Alligator mississippiensis: one gene and its partners. The protein of the gene in region 3 purifies or fractionates together with the protein of the main gene of each other region. This does not show direct contact. Links are inferred from orthologs where the notes say so. Each region holds a gene or a part of one and is shown on either strand. Other genes may lie near its edges.

What was found.
Region 1: the proteins of KDR (region 3) and PTPN6 purify together in Homo sapiens (affinity purification with western blotting; 3 studies listed by BioGRID and IntAct, with this or other methods). This does not show direct contact. The link is inferred for Alligator mississippiensis from reciprocal best matches to the Homo sapiens genes KDR and PTPN6.
Region 2: the proteins of KDR (region 3) and CDH5 purify together in Homo sapiens (affinity purification with western blotting; 3 studies listed by BioGRID and IntAct, with this or other methods). This does not show direct contact. The link is inferred for Alligator mississippiensis from reciprocal best matches to the Homo sapiens genes KDR and CDH5.

The regions. Positions count from the first base shown.
Region 1 is NC_081824.1:244,116,638-244,124,723, forward strand, and holds the start of PTPN6 (tyrosine-protein phosphatase non-receptor type 6), read left to right. Parts: upstream 1-5,043; 5' UTR 5,044-8,029; intron 8,030-8,086. Other genes in the region: C1H12orf57 (protein C10), read left to right, coding at 1,482-1,626, 1,874-1,987, 2,081-2,257, 2,394-2,542. UniProt on the Homo sapiens protein: Tyrosine phosphatase enzyme that plays important roles in controlling immune signaling pathways and fundamental physiological processes such as hematopoiesis.
Region 2 is NC_081833.1:63,086,160-63,093,145, forward strand, and holds the start of CDH5 (cadherin-5), read right to left. Parts: upstream 3,045-6,986; 5' UTR 2,862-3,044; intron 1-2,861. UniProt on the Homo sapiens protein: Cadherins are calcium-dependent cell adhesion proteins. They preferentially interact with themselves in a homophilic manner in connecting cells; cadherins may thus contribute to the sorting of heterogeneous cell types.
Region 3 is NC_081825.1:60,199,099-60,206,318, forward strand, and holds the start of KDR (vascular endothelial growth factor receptor 2), read right to left. Parts: upstream 3,049-7,220; 5' UTR 2,982-3,048; coding exon 2,918-2,981; intron 692-2,917; coding exon 613-691; intron 491-612; coding exon 294-490; intron 1-293. UniProt on the Homo sapiens protein: Tyrosine-protein kinase that acts as a cell-surface receptor for VEGFA, VEGFC and VEGFD. Plays an essential role in the regulation of angiogenesis, vascular development, vascular permeability, and embryonic hematopoiesis.

The DNA of each region.
Region 1 (8,086 bases), on a different chromosome or scaffold from region 3:
AGAGAAGGAAGGATGGAAAGAACAAGATGACCATCCTGGGAGCAGAGAGGAGGGGAGAGAAGTGGGGAGGGAGTGAGATGCCTAAAAAATGTTTGGAACCATGGCATGACTTCAAGAGGGGCACTGAGAAAGACAAAGTTAATGTGACAGAGAGCTTGAAGTACAAGGAATTGTGGGGATTCAAAATGGCTGCTGTTCCAGAATCTCTTTTGAGAGAGTGGTTGTACCTAATAAAAAAAACAAAAGTATGAAGTATGATGGGACCTTTCTATACGTGGTGGTAGCCTTTTCTGCTTCCCTGCATGAGCAGATATGGCCAAGAGGCAGACCCTCAGAACCTGATGTGAACTTTTTTTCAAAATGCCTCCCACCCTGCTATTTTGGATGTGAGATATGGCCTAGAGATGCAAAGCATCATGGGACTTTTGGAAACTGGCCAATGTGGCTTCCTACTCTCCGAACCCACTTTGGGAATGAACATGGCAAAGAGACGCAAAGCACTATTGGAACTCTTCAAATGGCCACTTCTACTTTCCCACCCAACCCCTGAGGGACTGGCCTGGCTATGAGGTGCAAAGCACCATGGGACTGTTTTCAAGATGGTGGCTGTGTTTTCCCCCACCTCAAGGGAACAGGTATGGCCAGCAGGTGCAAAGCACCATGGGACTGTGTTCAAGATGGTGGCTGCCTCTTTCCCCTCTCTTATTCCAGTTGATGTACTTTTAATCCATGCACATCCCATTAGACGTGGCAGTTTTGCGTAGCAATGTGTGACTTCCCAGTCCCCACGTGCGTGTCTGATCTCACAGTTGTATATCTCTGTCTGTGTGAGTGTGTGTGTGTATATGTACGTGTGTGTGTATATATATGTACACACATACACACCCACACATTATATATATCCGCACACACACATGCATATATATATATATATATAAATATATATATATATATTTACTTAAAACATTAAAAAGAGAAAAGGAAAAACAAGAAAGAGAGCTCTGGGGAAACACCCCAATGAAGTCCTCCATGCGCTCAGAACCCCGAACACACATTCTAATAATTTATATATAAAATATATATATGAAGCTCTTACAAACAAAATGAAACCCTTCCAGAAACGGACTCTGTGGTTTTCATTTAAGTGCCTGGGGGCCCTGGCAGCAAGCGAGGCACGCAGAGGCATGAAGGGCAGTGCCCCCTCTGCCCTGCCTGGCAGGAGGTGGAGTGAGCTGGTGATGAGGCACAGAGCCCCCTGTGGCGCCCTCCCCAGCACTAGGCCCGTGCTATTGATGGGGGCGCGTGAGTCCCCAGCTGCAAGGCCAGGCCAGAGAGGCCAGGAGCGTGCACCGCCGCACCTGGACTGGGAGGTAGGGGCAGGGGGCGGGGCCTCCAGCCAGTGCTGCCGAAACCTGCAGGGCGCGGACAGGCCGGGGGTGGAGCTTCGGGCCCCTGCTCCAATGGGAAGGCGGCTCATTTGCATGCCGGCGAACTCGCCCGAGCGCGGGCTGGAAGCCGAGCGCCGCGGCGCCAGCGAGGCGGGGGGGCGCGGGGAGCCGCCGCGGCGCTGCGGACATTTCCCGGGAGCGGCGGCTGCGTTTCAGGAGCCTTCCGCGAACCTGCGGAGTGGGTTTGCGACTCACAGCCGGAGTCACCCTAACCTGGGCGATACTCGGGCTGGGTGGGGGGTTCGGGGGGTTGTACACACTGGGCAGTGATTTCAGCTCTTTTAGTATTTGTCCAGCAGTCCCTCGCGTAGCGAGGGGCCCCAGCGCGTACAAAGGTAGTGGATTTTGGGAGGGGTTACGGCGCGGGGGCTTTATTGATCCGAGCGCTGTGCTCCGACCTGGCAGTGGCTCCTCCGCCCCTGCAGGCGGCGGTAGGTGCCTGAGGAGCCCGCGCCCTGCCTGCATGTCCAGCCTGCAGCGCCCCATGGCGGCCTCGGGCCCGGCCTCGGCGGCGCCGCTGAGCGCGGAGCAAGCCAAAGGTGAGCATCTCCCGTCCCCTCGCTCGGGGGCGGGCAGTGGCGGCGGGGCTGCTGGGTGCCGAGCCGCCCCCCACGCCTGTGCCCTGCCCGCAGTGGTGCTGGCCGAGGTGCTCAAGGCGTTCGGCGCCCCGGAGAACGCGCAGCGCCTGGATGAGGCGCGGGACAATGCCTGCAACGACATGGGCAAGATGCTGCAGTTCCTGCTGCCCGTGGCCACGCAGATCCAGCAGGACGTCATCAAAGCCTACGGCTTCAGCAGCGACGGGGAAGGTGGGGTCAGCCCCTGCCCGCTATCCCGCGTCACCAGGGGCACCCGGCTGCCGCTGGGCCTGGTGAATGGCGGCCTGGCAGAGGGCTGGCCCCTCAGCTCTGTCTCCCCCCACCCCCTTCTCTCTCTGTCTCTCAGGGGTCCTGAAGTTTGCCCGGCTGATAAAATCCTATGAATCTCAGGACCCAGAGATCGCCAGCATGTCTGGGAAGCTGAAAGCCATGTTCCTGCCACCCATGACGCTGCCTCCGCATGGGTCGGGGACAGGTGGGGTGGCAGCCTCATGAAGCTGGGACCCTGTCCAGCTCCAGCTGAGTATGAGGGCACTGGCTCCTGGCATCCCGGTCGGGCTGCGGTTGTCCAGCTGCAGGTGGGGCCCCAGGAGCCCCCAGTGCCTCGGAAGCTCAGAAGCTTCTTTGTGTGTCTGCGGCGTTGTGTTTTACGTGCCTGCATGAGACAGTGTGCTGCTTCTGCTTGTGAATAAAAGTTGTTTTAAGAGTGGTCCCATTGAGTCCCAGGGCTGTGTCCTAAGCTGTTTCCAATGGGTGATGATGAGGCAGAAGGGAGGTTTGCTTTCCTGCTCCTCCCTCAGCAGTCCTGCCCTGCTGTAGCTCTGCTGTGAGGGCATTCTGCCTGAGCCTGGTCCCAGGAAATGGAGAGGAGACAGCTCCCCCCCACGGTACAACCCTTCTGCCTGGGAGTAAAGACTTGGTACCTGGTGACTTTTGAAATAGAGTGCTATGGCTGCAGCACAAGGAATGCTTTTGTTCTGAGGGTAGAGCCAAGTGAAACCATTCAGGGGTGGAACAAGAAGTTCAGGGCTACGCGCCTAACCCCAGCCTGTCAAAGGGAAGGTGTGGGCACTGCAGCTCTGTATAGGCTAGGTTGTGTTAGAAGCAAATTAATAATCACTTAGCTATTTAACATGCTAGTGCAGACAGCACTTAACACAGTAAAGTGACACTATTGCTGAACGCAAGCGTTGAATGTGGTTCTAAATGTGTTAAGTTTCATAGATTTCATAGACATTAGGGCTGGAAGGGACCTCGGAAGATCATTGAGTCCAGCCCCCTGCCCAAAGGGCAGGAAGTCAGCTGGGGTCATAGGATCCCAGCAAGATAAGCATCCAGTTTGCTCTTGAAGGTGTTCAATGTAGGCGTTTGAACCACCTCCGGTGGCAGGCTGTTCCAGACCTTGGGGGCTTGGACAGTAAAGAAATTCTTCCTTATGTCCAGCCTGAAACGGTCTTGTAGTAGTTTATGACCGTTCAACCTAGTCGTCATCCCTTGGGGCGCTCTGGTGAACAAACGTTCCCCCACATACTGGTGGTCACTCCTGATAAACTTATAGGTGGCCATCAGATCACCTCTGAGCCTGCGCTTTTCCAGGCTAAAGAGCCCCAGGGCTCTCAGCCTGTCATCGTAGGGTCTGCTTCCCTGACCTCCGATCATGCGCGTGGCTGTTCTCTGGACTCTCTCAAGCTTCTCCACATCCTTTTTGAATTGTGGAGCCCAAAACTGGACGCAGTACTCCAGCTGTGGTCTCACTAAGGCCGAGTACAAGGGGAGAATGACATCCTGGGATTTGCTTGAGAAGCATCTATGGATGCAAGCCAGTGTTTTGGTCGCTTTACTAGCTGCAGCATCGCACTGCAGGCTCATGTTCATCTTGTGGTCAATGATGACCCCCAAGTCTCTTTCTTGCATAGTGTTAGCTAACATAGCACTGCCGAGCCTATAAGGATGCTACGGATTTTTCTTCCCAAGGTGGAGAACCTTGCATTTATCGGCGTTGAACACCATCAGATTCTCGTCCGCCCAGGTTTGACCTCATGAGATTCCCTTCCAGCCCTACTTTCTAATAAGATTCTAATGTGCCAGCAATGCAGAAGCATAAGATTACTAGGTGTAAATGACTGCAACTCAAAGTACTTTTCTGACCCTCATTTCAGGCTATTGCCACACAGCCATTACACCAGGGCCCAATCAAGTTTGGGCTGGCCAGATACACAGCAGCCAGGGCCTGCATGCCACACAGTTTGCAGGCCCTGGGCTGCACACCATACAGGCAGCATGCCCTGGGGGCCATGTGGGCACCTTGGGACCCCTGCCACATGAGCAATGCAAGTCTCCAGCTACTGCTGTGCCAGCTGCTCTGCTGCTGCCACCACATGGGCAAGAACCTCTGCCCCACAGCAGGGAATTCCCCCTTGCCAGAATCCAGCAGGCAGCATACTCCTTGCCATGCTGCCCTGCCCCAGAGAGTCCCACCAGCGTGGGAGGCATGTTAACCTCTCATGGGCCATCAACTGGACAGCTCTGTGCTGTTATGTTTCTTTAAAAGGTTAAAAGATCTAAAACTATGTTAGTTCAAATGTGTTGGTTAGAAGCTTCCTGAACTCAATTTATTCTTGTAACCTTTGCCCATGTTACAGGGGTCCACTGGCAGTGCACTGATGCCTACAGGGTAGCAGAAGATCTTATGCTGTAGCCAATGTTACCCTGCTGACATAGCCCTGGCATAGAGACAGAAGGCTGGGTGCAGAGGCGCTTAGTCCTGGTGGCCAGAAAAACTCCTGCAAGCAAAGCTGTATCTACACTAGGGGACCCTGTTGTTTTGTAGCTGCTGCTATACTTAATGTGTAGATCACGCCCTGGTGTAATGGCTAATGTGTGGCAATAGCCTGAAATGAGGGACAGAAAAGTACTTTGAGTTGCAATCGTTTACACCTAGTAATCTTATTCTTCTGCATTGCTGGCACATTAGAATCATATTAGAAAGTAGGGCTGGAAGGGAATCTCATGAGGTCATCTAATCCAGCCCCTTGCTCAAGGCAGGATCATCCTTGACTAAACATCCCAGCCAAGTGTCCATCTAACCTCTTAAAAATTTCCAGGGATGAAGATTCCACCGTTTCTCTAGGTAGCCTGTTACAATGCTTGACTACCCTCATAGTCAGAAAGTTCCTCCTCATCTTCAACCTAAATTTCCTCTGCTGCAGTTTGAGGTCTTTGCTCCTAGTTCTGTCCCCTACAGCCATAAAAAAGTCCATTGCCAGCCTTGTTAGGATCCCCTGTCAGGTATTTGAAGAATGTTATCAACCGCTCCCCTCACCCTTGACCCACAGTCTTCTCTTCTCCAGACTAAATAACCCTAACTCTTTCAGCCTTCCCTTATAAGGGCCTTGCCACACCTTATGGTGAGAGCTACACAAAGGTTGATCAGCATTAGTGCTAGCCTGGAGCTGTGACAAGAGGCCTGGTGAGCAGGGGCAGGACTAGGAGCTGTAGCTGTGAGCTGCCACAAGAGGGCTTGTGAGCCAGGGTAGGATTTTAATTCTGCTGTATGGGTAGGGGTATGAGAGATCCTGGGATACTGGAGGACTTCAGTTTGGGCAGCACATCTGTGGAGAGTGGCCACACCTTCATGGAACATTAATCCCATGAGGTTCAACAAGGACAAGTGCAAAGTCCTGCACTTTGGACAGAACAATCCCATTTACCAGCGCAGGCTGGGGGCTGACTGGCTGGGCAGCAGCTCTGCAGAAAAGGACCTGAGGGTTACAGTGGACAATAAGTTGAATATGAGCCAGCAGTGTGCCCTTGTTGCCAAGAAGGCTAACGACATACTGGGCTGCATTGGTAGGAGTGTTGCCAGTAGGTCAAGGGAAGTGTTTATTCCCCTCTATTCAGCACTGGTGAGGCTACAGCTGGAGTACTGTGTCCAGTTTTGGGCCCTCCACTACAGAAAGGACAAATTGGAGAGAGTGCAGCAGATAGAAACAAAAATGGTGAGGGGGCTGGGCACATGACTTATGAGGAAAGACTGGGGGAACTTGACTTATTTAGTTTAGAGGAGACTTAATAGCAGTCTTCAACTCCCTGAAGTAGGTTCAAAAGAGGATAGAGCTAGGCTGTTCTCAGCAGTGGCAGATAACAGAACAAGGAGCAACAGTCTCAAGTCACAACAATGATCACAGCAAGGGAAGTTTAGGTTAGATATTAGGAAGAATTTTCTCACTAGGAGGGTAGTAAAACACTGGAACAGGTTACCCAGAGAGGTGGTGGAAGCTCCATCCTTGGGAGTTTTAAAACCCGGCTAGACAAAGCCTTGGCTGGGATGATCTAGTTGGGGCTGGTCCTGCTTTGAGCAGGGAGTTGGACTAGGTGACCTTCTGAGGTCCCTTTCAACCTTCACCTTCTATGATTCTGTGATTCTAGGAGCTGGGTAGTGTGGATCAGAAATAATCCTGCCCTGGAGTGGCATAACTTTGAGCCACAAAACCGTGCTTAAAACCGCTTTAAGATGTTAACATGTGGGGACAACCCAGGGGTTAAGAGCTCCAGGAGCTGCCCAAATTACTGTGTAACAAGACCCTAAGTCATGTTTCTCAGGCCCTTGCTCATTTTTCTTATCCTGTGCTGCATGAACAATGCATGCTCCCCGTGGCGCGGGGGGGCACAGTGGCAGCAGCAGGAGCATGGCAGTGGTTAGCGGGAGAGCTCCTGCAGACGCTGCTGGTGCTGTCGGCAGTGGTGGCGGGGGAGGTGGCGAGTGCTGACCAGGGGTCGGCAACCACCCGCAGACGCCGCTGGCAGTGTTGGTGGCGGCCAGAGGGAATCACGGAGAGCTGCACCTTTTTGTAGGGGGTGCACCACCATGCTCAGGGGGTGCATGTGCATCTGTGTGCACCCCCTACGCATCACCCCTGCTGTGCTGGACTCTTTCTAAACTGTTCACATCTTTCTTGAAGCATTGGGCCCAGATCTAGAAGGCTTCAGCAGCACCAAACAGAACAGAGGAATCACTTCCCTTGATTTGCAAATAACACTCCTGTTAATACAACCTAGTAGGCTGTGATCTTTTTTGCAACAAGGGCACATCGTTGGCTCATGTTTAGTTTATAGTCCACTGTAACCCCCAGGCCCTTCTCAGCAGCACTGCAGTCTAGCCAGTCATTCCCCAGTCTGTATGTGCAATTATTCAGTCCAGTGGTGGCGCACACGGGGTGCACATGCACCCCCTGAGAGTGCTGGTGGACCCCCTGACAGGCCACATTCCCTGCTTAGGTGGCAGGCAGGGGGGCAGGTGGGAGCGCCAGTACCCCCCTGCAAGCACCACAGCCACTTCTGGGAGCACTTGATGAAGTGCCATGGCCACTCCTCCCCCCACCCCCGATGCCCCTAAGGTGGCACCAGTTGCCCATGATTCAGTCCTGGACACAGGACTTTGCACTTGTCCTTGCTGCATTTCATCTGATGTTGTTAATTTCCAACATTTAAAGTGAGGAAACAGCAAATGTCTTTGGACTCTTTTCAACCCTGGAATTCAAATGTGCACGTGAGCAGCTTTCAGTAGGGGTAGCTGCAGGTCAGGACTGGAGGCATAGGCAGAGCAGTGTTTGTGGAGGCCAGGACTGCAAGGGAAAAGAGTCAGAAGTCTGGTAAGTTCCCAGGTGATCAGAGCTATTCACTTTTGTTTTCTCTGCCTTTCAGTTACAAATAGTCAAGGAAGTACTTAGTGGAGAGGAAGCAGGAAGAGCAGATAGTTCCTCACCTCTTCACCTGCCCCCTCAGTTTAAGCCTGTTCTTCCCCTGCTCCCCATGCACCTCAATTATTCATTAACTACAAATCAGGAAGTGATTTACAGATGGTGGAAAGGAAGCCTCTTGCCCTGCACCTGCACCTGGCTGCCTGATCTTGGGTCTCCTCCTCCTGCTGCCCAACCCCCAACAACAGTGATCTATCCTCTGAGGACATCCAAGGCTGGTGAGGTAAGTTGATCACCAAGCCTTTCCTATCCAGATTAGAGGGCATTCAGTCAGGGAGCT
Region 2 (6,986 bases), on a different chromosome or scaffold from region 3:
TTGACTCCACAACACCACTAGAAGTTATTAACCTGATTGTACAGCAGCGCTGAGCAAACACCCTCTTCTCTTAGTAGTGAGCCAAACTAAATTTGGGGTCTAGACCTAAGCAGGGTGTTTTTGATATTCACATACAAGTCTGATTCTGGAGGGACTTTTTCAAAGGCATCAGTGGGAGGTAAGAGCCCAACTGCCACTTTGAGTTGATGTGAATTGGGTTTCTGAGTGTCTTTTTGTGCCTTTACAAATCTTCCCCCTCTGTAGCTTGGCAAATCTCCAATTTGTACAAATAACCAGTTTCTGACACATAATAGTGCAGGAAGAAAACTAATCATCCCAGCATGCGTTGTGTGATAAACTATTAGGGCTCATCTCATTTTAAACATCCAGGAAAGAAGAATGGAAAGTACCCTGTCAATCTTATGTTTTTTACCCAGCTTGAAATATTCCCACTTAACACAGATATCTCATGAAGTTAGCAGGAGAGATTTTTTTTCTTTTCCTGCTTGCCATTACAATTTGGACCTTTCTGAAATAAATTTCTAGAAACCAAAATGATGAAAAGATGGCTACAGTAATCATATTGATTAATCACTTTTAAAATATGTCATAACTAAACATTAATAGGCTTTCCCTTCCACAAAAATAATGCACTATCTGCTTGCTTTAAGTGTTTTAGATAAGTAACCTGACAACAAAAGGTATTTCTATGATTTTTTTCTCTCTTTTTCTTTTGAAAAGGGAAAGTATTCTCTTTTGAATATTAATTTATATTCTTATAGTCTATCTTGGTAAGGGCTATAAACCAGATGAGCTTCTGAGATAGAAAGTATACAAATCCATGTACTTATATCCTGTTTTGAGCTGCTCTATTCCTCTCAACAAAAGCAGGATATGAGACAGGCATGTTCTTTTGGCAAATATTTTTCAAAGCTATTAACTATTTAAATGAAAATTTCTCTGCATCTACTTCTCCTTGGGTATTGAACCTAGCTTTTGTTCCTATACAAAATATCCAGATTATTCAATGAAATAGATCTGTTGTGACTCAATTTGCATTTTAAATATTGAAATGAAGGTTTTAACATAATGTTGAAGTACTATTGTTATAAAATGGAAAGCATCAGCTGAAAAATATTTCAGTTTGCAGTGCAGTTACATTTCCAAAGCCAAATAAATCTGAGCACTCCATACAGAGCTCAGATTAGCATCAGAGTACTGAGAGTTTATTTTTTGTATTCCAGTTCATTTGTTTTATTGCATGCAACCTCTTTGACTGTTCTCAGTAGGTTGTGGGGAACGGAAACAGAAGAAACCTAGCCTTATGTCCTTTTCTTCTTTAGTTTGCCCCTTGTTTCAGGATTCAAAGCCACCCTTAAAGATACCAAACCTTTTTAAAGCAAGCATTTGTATTGCCGTATTAGTTGTTTTGATTCATAGTATTAATTAACATGTTAAGATTTTGTATATATCTTGAGTTGCTTCTGTTAATAGATTTTCCTAAATTTTCCCCACAAGGAATCACAGGGTAGGTGCTTTTATAAATGTAAATAACAACTACTATAATATCAGCAGTTATAATCAGAAGAGGCAGAAATGAATCAAATAATCCTACTTAAGTTAACTTCAGTAGCAGCCAACTTCAATGCTTTGAATAGCTGAGACTTCTTCAGGTTTTCTCACAAAAGTTCAACCTATTCTGTCTTTTTCCTGAAGCCTTCATTTTTTCCTTTTCTTTATACAGCATTAAACACAGCACAGTAAGGCACTATATCTCCTGACGCATGGACTATAATTTCAACCCAAAAAGATGCATTTATTCATCTCTTATTCATAAACATTTGTCTTTGCAAACTTGTTAGTCAAGGGATCTCCTGTGTAAAACATTATATGCTTATGGCAGCATAAAAACCCTTTCAACTGATGTCTTGTGTCACGGCTTTCTTCATGAAATAACTTACCAGAAAACATGGTAAATTTGGACAGCTGAAAGCCAGAGGTTTCCTAGAGAAATCTATGAGGTTTTTCCCCTAGTTGTTAAATGAGTGTCATACAACTTGAATGATCCAAGGTAACATTTTCAAAAGTGCCTAAACCAATTAGGTGCCTTAGTTTCATTGAAAGTTAGTGGAGATCAGGCTCCTAAAATGCATGATTCACTTTGAAAATAAGACTTAGGAGCATAAGTCACTTAGCTGCTTTTGAAAATGTCACTAAGTCTTTAAAAGTGAACCTCCTGTCATACAGATCTGCCTAGTGGCAGCCAATGAACATAAGAGGTGCTATCCTTTGGTTCTTAGCTCCAACCGTACTACAATTCCACTATTTCATTTTGAACAGAAAAAGAATGCCAAGGACCTATGCAACCTTCATCCAATATGTTTATGTCTAAAAAAAGCAAGATATAACATCGTGTATTCTAGTTCAATGACAAAATATCAAGCCTATTGCTGTCTGTAATGCAACTGGAATCCCTTCTTAAAGGGTCCCCAAGTGCAATTTGTTGCATTGATTTCTGTTTTTCTGTTTTATTGAAAACATCTACTGGCAGCATAATTTGATCATTTTGAACCAAAAGAATCACTTCTTTGAGTCTAAATATTCTTCACAGTCTGGGACCATTAGATGCAGATGTAGAGAAACCGATTCTCCTCTCACTTCAGTGTTAATTGGCAGTAACTCCATTGGTGTCAATAGTTATTCTGCCAGCGATACTGGGCCCCAAGGGTGCTCTAAATACATCTAACATGCAGAACATGAACTTCAGAATCATCAAATAACTTCAAGCCAGTTCCAAAGTGTCAGCTATCTGGGAGGAAAAATTCTTGAAATTAAAAGTAATAATATCCTCTGTCCCTTACCTGATCCCCAGGAGTTGGTGAAGCTTCAGTTTTATCCCAAATTAAGAACATGAAATGAACAATATCCAGAAATCATGAGCACCACTCGGAGAGTGAGGAACAGATATAAAATCAGGATTTAATTTCACTAGGTAATACTGGGAGTGTTCAGCTTTCCAGTCTCCAAGGTTTCCCAGCTGGGGGTCAGCTTTTCCCATCCTGCATCCCTGCATCCTGTTATTGTTACAAACCTTAGTAATGCCAGTGAGAAAAGGGAGTGGAGGAAACAAGATAAACTTAGAGTCATTTTGCTAGACTTGCCTTTCAGAGGGTGTAACAAATACATATCTGAATAAAAGGAAATGGCCTGTAAGAGTAATATAAAGCCAGTGCTGTTATTTAGTATCTTTCTTACTGATCATTTTCATTTTAGGGGTTATTAAAAATCCTAACTTAGCACTTGTTTTTATTTTTATTCTCACTATTTGAAGAGTATGGTCTCCGGCTTATTTTCAGATTTGTTTTCCCATCAGGCAGATGGGAGTGTTTTCGTCTCTCCACCAGGATTATTCCACCACCCACAAAGGCTGAAAGTCCATCAAACAGGAGTTCTTATAAAAAGTTTAAGAGCCAATCTTTGCTAGTGTGAGAGGACTGGGATATATTGAAATTCTGGGATGAGCCGCATGCTGGTCTTGGTAACAGCTGTACAGATTTGATAGATCTGGCTTCAGCAAATCAGAGAACAGAAATTGGTTGCAAGTCTCCAGCCCAGTGCCAACTTCTTTGCCTTGCACTTTATGTAATGATCCCAACCTGTGCATGGTAGACAAAACACTGTTTAGATTTTATGGACTATTCCAGAAGTGGAAGTGATGACCCAAGATGTAAGGCAGTAGAGAGTTGGGCCCCAAGATTCACAAACAAAAAATCTTAGGAGAAGAATCACTGAATAACATGTATTGCCTTCATTGTATTAGAAATTTTCAAGTGGAGGAATTTTTGGGAGAGAGGAAAGGGGAAAAGATCAATGTTCCAAGAGGAGAGCTTGTGTTATGCTAGCCAGCTTGATTTGCTGTTTAATTGCAGACCAATGAGGGTTTAATTTTGGCCTCAGTGACTGCAATGAGTGTTGAAATTCTTGAAATTTAAGGTAGGATATAGACCAGTGAGCTCAGCATGATAAGCAGATGGGCCTTCCTACAGCTCAGGCAGAATGCTGTGATCCTGCTTTTGAACAGCAGAACATGCTTTACTTTTGCTGCAGCTTAAAAACAAAGAATGTCTATACACTATTTTGTATGTTTAAAGGAGGAGGAAATTTTAAATTGACTAATTCAGGAGAAAGTCTAAGAAACACGAGTCAACCCCCCCCCCCCCAAACAAACAAACAAAAAAACAAAAAACAAAAAAACCCCAACAACCCCAAACAACCAAAAAACAAAACCCAACTAATTTTGAGGTGTTGTCACCACATTGTGATGTATGTTGCACATTTGGTGACATTTCTTACGGAAGGCTTTAAATAATAATGATCCAGAGTTAAGTACTCTCACCCCTATTCTTCATCATGACTTAGCACAGGTAATGGGATTGATTTCCTAGCTTTCCAGAAGACTGAGCTTTGGTTACATTACTGCACATTTTTATGACATGCAGCAGCAAAGACAAATGACTGTTTTAAAATTTTGATACATTAATTATTCAGGAAGGTTAAGCAACTAATGAGGGGACATTTTTCAAAACCTTTTTTTAAGGAGACTGATTACAATTAAGTTTCCTTGCAATAAAATAAGCCGCTCCTATTTCATTGCTGAGGAAAAAGAAGAGGGAGAAATGGAAAGGATATTGCTGGGAGGTTCCCAGTGAACTGTAGTTATCTGTGGAGGATAGGCTGGTACCCAGGGCAGACAACAATCCTAGATATCATTTACTTTTGCAAATGATTTCAAGTGTGTTTGACTACTGACGTCCTTTGATCTTGGTATCTGTGGAGAAAACATGCTTGTTAGCTAGCCTAAACCAAGAATGGGGAAAAGAAAAGAGAGCTCATGTTCCTTGATTTAAAAAATATATGCATCTTCTACAATGGTGCTCTTTAGTTCTGCAAGTGCATACAGTTGGATTGCTGTTCTATCAACTTAAGGACCTTAGAGCCTGATATAAAGCGTGTAATGATTTTTCTTTGCCTTTATGGGCTATGAATGAGTCCCATTGTAACAACCTGGTTGTTAGTTAGATTTGATCATCCAGGTCTTTCTTCCCATGCATGTACTAGAACAATAGGTCTGAAAGGCAGCATTGAGATCCATGATTTGGATCAGCCAATTTTTTGTCAAGTCAGTCTTGAGGCCACTGGGATCATTGGGGCACTTTAGATGCTGTAACAACTAGGGCTGTGCAAAATTTCGCCAAGTGTTTTGTTTCGAAGCTGTTTTGACACATTTTGAGCTTGAAACAGTGAAATTGAAATGAAACAAAAAGCATCAAAACAGTTTTGAAATGAAACGAAGGCACTCAAAATCTTTTGCAAGTTTCAAAATGTTTCGAGTTTCGAAGCAGCCCAGTGGTGGGAGGCAGGGGAGAGCCAGGGCTGTGCTCCGAGCGGCTCCGCAACCCCATGTAGCTCAGCCCAGCGGGGAGCGCAGCCCTGGCTCTCTCTGCCTCCCACCACTGGGCTGTGCTCCGTGGGGCTGGTGGAGCTGACCAGAGGGCAGCGCCAGCTCTACCCACCTCCCACCTCTGGGTTGCGCTCTGCTCGGCTCAGCCAGCCCCATTGAGTACAGCTCGGCGCTGGTAGGTGGGCAGAACCAGCTGGCTCCACCAGCCCCACAGAGCACAGCCCCAGCTCTGCCCGCCTCCCACCACTGGACTGTGTTCCGTGGGGCTGCGGAGCTGAATGGAGTGCAGCGCCGGCTCTGCCCACCTCCCGCTGCTGGGCTATGCTCCGATCAGCTCTGCCAGCCCCATGGAGCTCAGCCTGGCAGTGGGAGGTGGAGCACAGCACTGGCTCTGTCCACCTCCTGCTACTGGGCTGCGCTCCATGGAACTGGCGGACCTGATCAGAGTGCAGTGCCGGCTCTCCCCGCCTCCCACTGCCAGGCTGTGCACCAGTCGGCTCCGCCAGCCCCACGGGGCCCAGCCCCACTCTGCCTGCCTCCTGCTGCTGGGCTCTGATCTGTTCTGCCAGCCCCATGGAGCACAGCACTGGCTTTGTTTGCCTTCCTCCTCAGACAAGTGACAGAAGCAATTTTCTCTGGTGGTGGGTGCAGCCTGCACCCAGCGCTGGTCCCAGGTGACAGGGCAGCCTCCTCTCATCTGGGGTGCAGATCTGGAGGCTTCCACCCCCGGGAGGGCTGCCAGGCTGTGCCAGACTCTTCCCATGGGTACGAGCCCCCGGATCTTCACGCTGAATGAGGAGAGACTCAGGCTGCCCAGCACCGGTCCCAGGTGGAAGGGGAAGCCTCCTCTCATCTGGGGTGCAGATCCAGGGGCTCACAGCCCTGGGAGGGCTACAGGGCTGTGCTGGACTCCAGGTGTGCGAGCCCCCAGATCTGTGCTGGATGAGAGGAGACTAAGGCTGCGGCAGCAGCAATTTTATCCAGTGCTGGATGCAGCCTGTGCCCAGTGCCAGTCCCTGATGGGATAGGCAGCCTGAGCCTCCTTTCATCTGGGGTGCAGATCCGGGGGCTTGCACCCCTGGGAGGGCTGCTGGGCTGTGCCAGCCTCCTCCCGGAGGTCCGAGCCCTTGGATCTGCATGCCGGATGAAAGGAGGCTCAGGCTGCCTATCCCATCAGGGACTGGCACTGGGCACAGGCTGCATCCAGCACTGGATAAAATTGCTGCTGCCGCAGCCTGAGTCTCCTCTCATCCTCCACTCTGAGGTTAGTTGAGTTGCTCTGCATCATCGGTGATTCTTTGGGCAAAGTGATCTGGTGGTGCTCATCTCCTCTCCAGGCATGGATGACATTTGGCTCACAGGGATCTCATGCCCTTTGACAGGCCTTGTTTTTAGTTCGCTGGGTGTCCACATCCCTCCTCACCCAGACTAGCCCAGGTTGGGGTGCCAGTTTAGTCGCCGACAACCTGGCCATAGAACAGGCTGTATTGGTTTACGTGGTACCAGATAGTAGACCAAGAGAAGC
Region 3 (7,220 bases):
TATGTTAAGAAAATCCACAAACAAAATGAATGTATGATTTGTCCATTAAAAATGGATAGATATTTGTGTTTTTATTTTTCTTGAAACCTTAGAAGAAAGTGCAGAGACTCCTACTTTCTTTTAAAGCTGAAAGTCTTAACATGCTATTTTTTATGCATATCTGTCAAGTATGTTTCCTTACTGTGATCAAAGCAGTGAATATTAAATCAGAGCAAAGCTGCCTGAAAAGCTAGACACCTCTCTTCCATTTCTTTTTTATCTTACCAATAGGTAGAAATCTTTTAACCACTTACCTTGAACATAGACATAAATGCTGGTGCTTGCCTGGTTGTCTTTGTAAATGCACTTGTAGGCCCCAGTGTCATTACTTATTACTTTTGTCAGAGTGAGCATCTTACAATAGAGGCTGTCATCGCAGTTTGTCACCGTGACACGTTTCTCAGAACTGCTCTGATTGTTAGGCCAAAACCATTCCACAGTTCTTTGACCACTAGGAAAACAAATTACAGAGAAGTATTAGGACAAGACTGGCTATGGAGTTGCTCCATGTCAGTAAAATTCAGTCCCACAGTCTTTAAATAGCCCCTTTTAACACAATGAAAATCAGCTTACCTGCAAGTAATTTTTAATGTATCATTTGCAGTTACTGTAAGGATATCTTTTTGGATGCTAAGGGTTGGCTGATCCAGGCCTGCAGAAATATCAATAAACGAATGAGCCAAAAGCCAGTGAGACTCGATAAGAAAAAGCACAATATAAAAGTGTACATATAGGCTATTTTAAGTGAACACCTTTACATAATGTGTTAACCTGTGGCAGGCAAATAATCACTTTTCACATATCCCAGTAAGTTCAAGATCTGTCATAACAGGAAGAATAGGCAGATGGTCATGAGCTAGCAGAATAGCACTACAATTCATAAAGCTAGGGTGGAGTTCCTGTTTTCTTGCATTGCCAACTTCAAGGTCTAACAAGAGGATATGGGACATTGAAAAAAAGTGAACCTTCATCTGATGATCTCACTCCCTTGGGAAAAAGCCTACCAACTTTACTTGCAATAAACTGAACGTATACATTTGCCACGGCTGCTGATTAATAAATACTAACAGGAATCATTTTGTGCAATGATGATCCTTCTTTGAGCAGGGGGTTGGACTATATGACCATCTGAGGTCCCTTCCGGCCCTAATTTTCTATGATTCTATGGTTCTATGAATGCATCATATGCACAAGGTCATATGAGCTATTGTTGTTTTCCTTGCTCACTTTTTCCTTTGTCGTGGGAAAAATTATTCCTATTTTATTTGTGAGAGTGGTTCCATTGTGTCCATTGTGTTTAGTGGGAATCCTTGTGTCACAGGGGCTGCAAAATCAGTTCCACTTCAGTCTTAGATAACTGTTTGGTGAGGCAGTTTGCGCAACATTGTAAATAGCACAGAAAGAGACCTTTCTAGCACTGGTTCCGATACTCCCTCCTATTGGGAATTCTCTCTTGGTAAGGGCTGTCTAAAGAGAAAATAAGTCTAACAAGACACAGCTCAGATGAGTGGCAACTAGATTAGTATTAGTAACAATAAGGTAAGCCTATGTCTGTAATGTACAATATTTTCCCAGAATTTCTATTATAATCTGATCAAACCCTGCCTTCTCCATTGCCAGTTTCACATATTTTCACTTTCTTCTAGAAAACCATCACTACTAGAGATACAAGCTGGCTTGCTTTCTCTTGTAAAGTATCATGCAGTTATTTTTCCTCATCATAAGCATCAGCACTAATGTTACATCTATCCCATTTGCCAGGTAATCGCAAACAAACGAGCCCAGGCCAAACCCTGCCCTCAGATGCACATCTGCAGTCCCCAGTGGCTTCAAGGAGAGCTGTTATAGAAATAAATAGCAGAGCATCAAACCTCTGGAAGGGGTGGATTTGAGGGTGGGAGGGAAAGGGGTTACCGGGGGCTTCTTTTTCACCACAGAGAACATACAGCACCAGCAGACTCTTCCTATGCCTGAAGAAGGGTGTTGGAGCCTGAAAGCTTGCAAAGAACAATTTTTCCAAATATTTAGTTGGTCTAATAAAAGATACCACATTTACACAAAGAACCTACTCTGCCAAGACACTAAGACACTTCTCCATCAGTATTTACTAGCTGAATTGAGCTAGTGATGCTGATCTATAGCCAAACTACAACCAACCACTACCTAGATGATCATTGGTGTTAAGCTACTGAATGCAGCATTTGCACCTCAAGGGAGAAGAGACAGTTGAAACGGGCGTGATCACATACGTAGCCATTAAGAAACCCCACGGTGGTGGTAAAGCTTGAAGAACAACTCAAAGGCATGACTTCTCAAGTAATCGTGCAAGTACTGGCCTTAGACTAATGTGTGCACCCTTTGCAATGTCTGTCTGCTCAAAACGTTTATCTTTGAGCCAAACAGGTGCGGTGCATTTGTCCCATCCACACACAGCCGGCCACCCCGGTGTGGAGCTCCTTGCCACCAGGCGTGGGGGACGCTGACAGGTCAGCCAGATCCGCAAAGGGATCGGACACGTTCTGGGAGGAACGGAGCATCGGGCGACTGAGCGTGGGGTGCGGGCACAGCCCCGCAGCCAGAACTCCGAGAGGTGCCGGAGGCTGCAAGTGAGAAAGGACCGGGGGGAAGCCCTGCTGCCCCGCTCTGTGGCACAGGGTCTGACCGAGCCCTTCGGAAACTTTTCTCCAGCCGGGGACCCACCTTACTGCTCTGGGGCTGCGGGGGCTGCTCTCGGCACTGAGGGGCTGCGCTCGCTCTGCCCTGCCCCATGCCATCACCCTTCCCCACCCACGCCTCGGGGCAGGGCCGATCGCTGCCGCTCGTCTCCTGCCCTTGCCCCTGCCCCTGCCCCTGCCCCTGCCCCTGCCCCTGCCCCTACCTGGAGCCAGGCGGGAGCCCATGCCGAGCCACAGCACCAGCGCCAACGCCAGCCTGGGCTCCATCGTCTGCCGCTGCTGCCGCCGCTGCAATTCGGGGCCGACGCGCACCACCCGCCTTGCGCACCTGCGAGGCCGCCACTGCCCGCGCGCCGCCCGCAGCGCCGCTATTTTATATACGGGGCGGGGCCTAGCCCGCCGAGGCCCCGCCCTCCCGCTGGGCGCCAGGGGGTGCTGAGCCCTGCAGCCCTTCCTCTGGCCGGAGATCTGCCTCAGCCTCTGGCCGCAGCGGAGAAGAGGGGGTTATTGGTGATTTGGCCGGATCAGGCTGGGGCAGGGCAGGGTGTAGGGCAGTGATTCTCAACCAGGGGTGACCTGAGCTCCTTGCAGGGGTGCCACGCAGCGTTGGGTGTGCAAGCAGGATTGACGTGAAAATTGTAAACAGTGTTAACGCCATTCTGGCCCGTAGGTGTCTTCCGGGGGTCTTGGCAGCAGAATTGCTCCCTTTTTTTTCCGTAGTCCAAAAAAAAAAAAGAGTGAAGGCTGGGAGCTGGCACGGTCCCAGGGCTGCCTTCATTCAAATGAGGGCTGCCTTGCTCCCAAATGGGCGGGAAGCACTTGTATCGGTAAACAAACGCAAAGGGCAATGATGCTCGTTGGTGAAGGCTGCTGAGCCTCCCTATGAGAAGAAGGTCTCTGATGATCCCACGAGCCCAGGACAGGAGCAATCGGAAACAGAACATATCCTTTGTACCACAGTTTCTCGGCAAAATCCAAGAATACACTACATTTTCTTCACAGATTCTTCTGGGGAAATTCACTCGCTGGTTAGATGTGGCTGTCAACTGGAAAACAGCAAGTCGTAGAAATTGCTTCTCAAGACCGATATAATTTCATATTAAAGAAAGTGCATGGAATCTGCCAAAACTTTGGGAAATCCCCAAGGAAGAGGGCAGTATTTTGTGATAAGAAACTTCCTAGTTTAATCTGTGTAAGCTTGAGGCACCTTAGGAGTCTTGATCCTCAGAGGATGAATGCACATGATTTTCTGAAAATCATTGCCACCTAAAAGAGCATTTCTGATTGGCTCCACAAAAATGGAGGTGCTTAAAATCTCTAGTCATGTTTTGGTAAAATCTTGTACCTAATCCTCAACAAAAATTCCCCAAAGAGCTCTGACGCATTCACATGGTGGCCTTGTTCATATACAGTAAGCTGGATGTAGCTTATCTCAAGCTGGTCCAGGTGCCCAGATACTAGATCACTGACTGTATATGGCAACATCTATATCCTTAGATCTGATATAATTCATATATTACCCCTATGTGCCTAGTACAGCCCTTATGATTCAGTTACCTGAATCCTGGTCCCCCATGATAAAGTCATTTCCTGTAAGATTGAACATTTTACCCTCTTCTTACTAATGGCTAGATCCAGGTCTATTTATTCAGGCAACAATGCTATTGATATGATCAGAGTAACACCTGCAGGATTTGGTTGTAATTACTGATCTAATAAGACCAGGGTGATGTAAACAGGCTCCAGACAGTAGGTTCCTCTCCAGAAATAAAGTATAAGAATAGAATGTTACTTTCTTAATTAAAAGGGTTTTTTTTAAGATTACTGTAGTTGATACATAAGTGTTGGCAGAAGTTTTATGAAATATCCTCCTTTAGAGAAATAGAAGCATTCATACAAATAAATTTTAGTTGTGCATAATTTGCTCTGGTTGATATACTAATGAATCTGCATAAGATTCTATCCACAAATGAATTAGTCAATGAGTCTGTAATTTTACTTTGAGTGCTGTGCAATTTCAGCTCTTCCACTGTACTGGGGGACTGATACAATTTCCACTGAAATTGCATCCCTCCTGCTGACAGAATTCTAGCGAGAGTGAGAAAAGCTAAGTTTCTAATTTGATTTTTTCCCAAAGTTCCAATAAACTGTATTACACCTAAAAGAATCTCTTGCATCAAAAAGAGTGCAGTGAGCCACACTCAGACAAGAGTGCACTGTTGCCCTACCCCTGACAACATTTTATTATTTAAGGCCAAAAAATGTTCAGGCCTCATTAAAACATTTCCAGTATTACATGTGTGGAATCAATAGCAATGCTGAGTGATTCTTAGAACTCTGGGTTCAACTGCAAAATAATTGTCCATTGCTGAAATTGGTTAGCAAACAAGTTTATATTCACAAACTAGTAATCAAAACCTAGCAGGAACCATTGATCCTATGGATAGCTAAAGAATCTCCTTTGCTAACTTTGGTCTAGATCAGTGATGCTCAGAGTGCTGGGGTACCCTGGGGTGCCACCAAATCCTTTGAAGGGTGCCCTGAGGAGTGAGGAGATAAGCGGATAAGTGCAGGCTCAAGCTTGTTCTTGCCTGGCGGATCCCCCACCCCTACTGTCTGGCCACTCTGCAAAGAAGTAAGGACTGTAATATACAAATTAGTTTTTGAAATTGGCTGCCACACAATTCACACAAGTTATGGAGGGGTTCCCCAAGTCCAATGAGGGATGACTTAAGCCCAGTGAGGGGAGCATCCACTCCAAAAAGGTTGAGAACCTCTGGGCTAGATTGTGATTTATAGTGTGCAGTTACACGGAAGAGTAAGGGCAATTTTAAAAAAATGCCCTTAATTCATGCATAGGCTGGAAGGATCTGGGAGGTTCAGGCATTTGGGGGTAACAAGACATATCACCAGAGAAGATAGGTGGGAATGGAAGAGCCATGACTGAACTTCTGTTGGGCATGAGGGCATAAATTCCTGATGGTTAAAGTGAGTGACAGCTACTAATTTCTCTCTAGAACAACTTGGAGTCACAAAGAATATTGGGTCTGATAGTTTGTCTCTAGAACACAATAACTTTCAGGCTTACTTCTTAGATGCTGCAATGTAGGAAGCACACCTGTTTAGGTGTTTCTTGCCTTTAATGATGGTCACATGCATAAGCATGTGTTTTTCATATTTATTTCTTCATAAACAGTAAAGCAAAGATAGAGGGTGAGATTTTCATAAGCATATAGTTGACTTAAGAGCACAACTCCCGCTCAATTCAATTCATTCAAGCTCACAAGGAAAATGGAAGTCAATCAGTGGTGCTAATTGAACTTTCATCCAAATGACCATTCAAATTAAAATGTAGTTTGATCATAACCAGAGACTGCTGTAAATAAGCATTGGCGAAGCGTAGGGTGTATAAGCAGGTGCACATGCACCCTCCCCCCCCCCCCCAGTATCACAGTGCACCCCCTGCAAAAAGGCACGGCAGTCACTGCTGGCAGCACCTGTAGGGGGTCACCACTCGCCACCCTGCCCCCCCTTACCACCGACACCGCCGGCAGTGTCTGCAGGTGGTCCATGATCACCGCTGGCTGCCACCACCACCAGCAGCAGCATCTGAGGGTGGTCGCCAACTGCTGGTCGGTGCTTGCCACCCTCACCTGCCACCGACAGTGCTGCGACTGCCTGTGGGAGCTCCCCACTTGCCACCACCATGCTCCTGCTGCTGACAGTGCCACTGTAGCCTGCTCCGGGGGCACACAGCATTCGCGTAAATAAGCATTGCTTTTTCTTTCTGTATCAGTATCTTAATGAATCTTACTTGGGTGGATTGATTTAAAGAAATAGACACAAGAAACAAAAGAGAGGTAGTTACTAGTGTTTGTCTGAAGTCAGGCAGTGGGCAGGGCAGGGTTGCACTTAGCACCAGTTTTCCTTCTTTAACACTCCCACACTCACATTTTAAGTGCCTTTAGTACATTGTAAGGGTAACATGTAACTAAGCCCTTAGAAACTAACACATTCCAAAATGCATAAGCTTTTCTGTTGGCCTACAGAAGCTTATGCATTTCTAAACAAGTTAATCTCTAACGGCACCTTTACATGTGCTCCAGGGTGGGAGTGGGGGGTGCTTTAATTAGAGCGGCTCTCAGGAGCCACTCTAATTAAAGCACCCACCGCGTCTCGTGTAGTCAGCATCCTGCACTTCAAAATAGTGCATTTAACGAGCTTTAGTTAAAGTGTTCCCACCACCATTTTGAAGTGCAGGGACACAGAATACGTGGGATGCCAAGGTTGCTGGAATGTGCTAATTAGCACGCGTTGGAGCAGGCATCGGGCATATGCATAGGTGCTCTAAGGTGCCACCCTGCCCTGCGTGCTGCCTGACTTCAGACTAACACTGCTCACTCTCTCTCTTATTTCCTTGTGTGTTTCTTTCAATCAATCTCCCAAATAGGACTCATTAAGATAATGATTACAAGTTATAGCTTCCAAGAAGAGTTCACCTTAAAA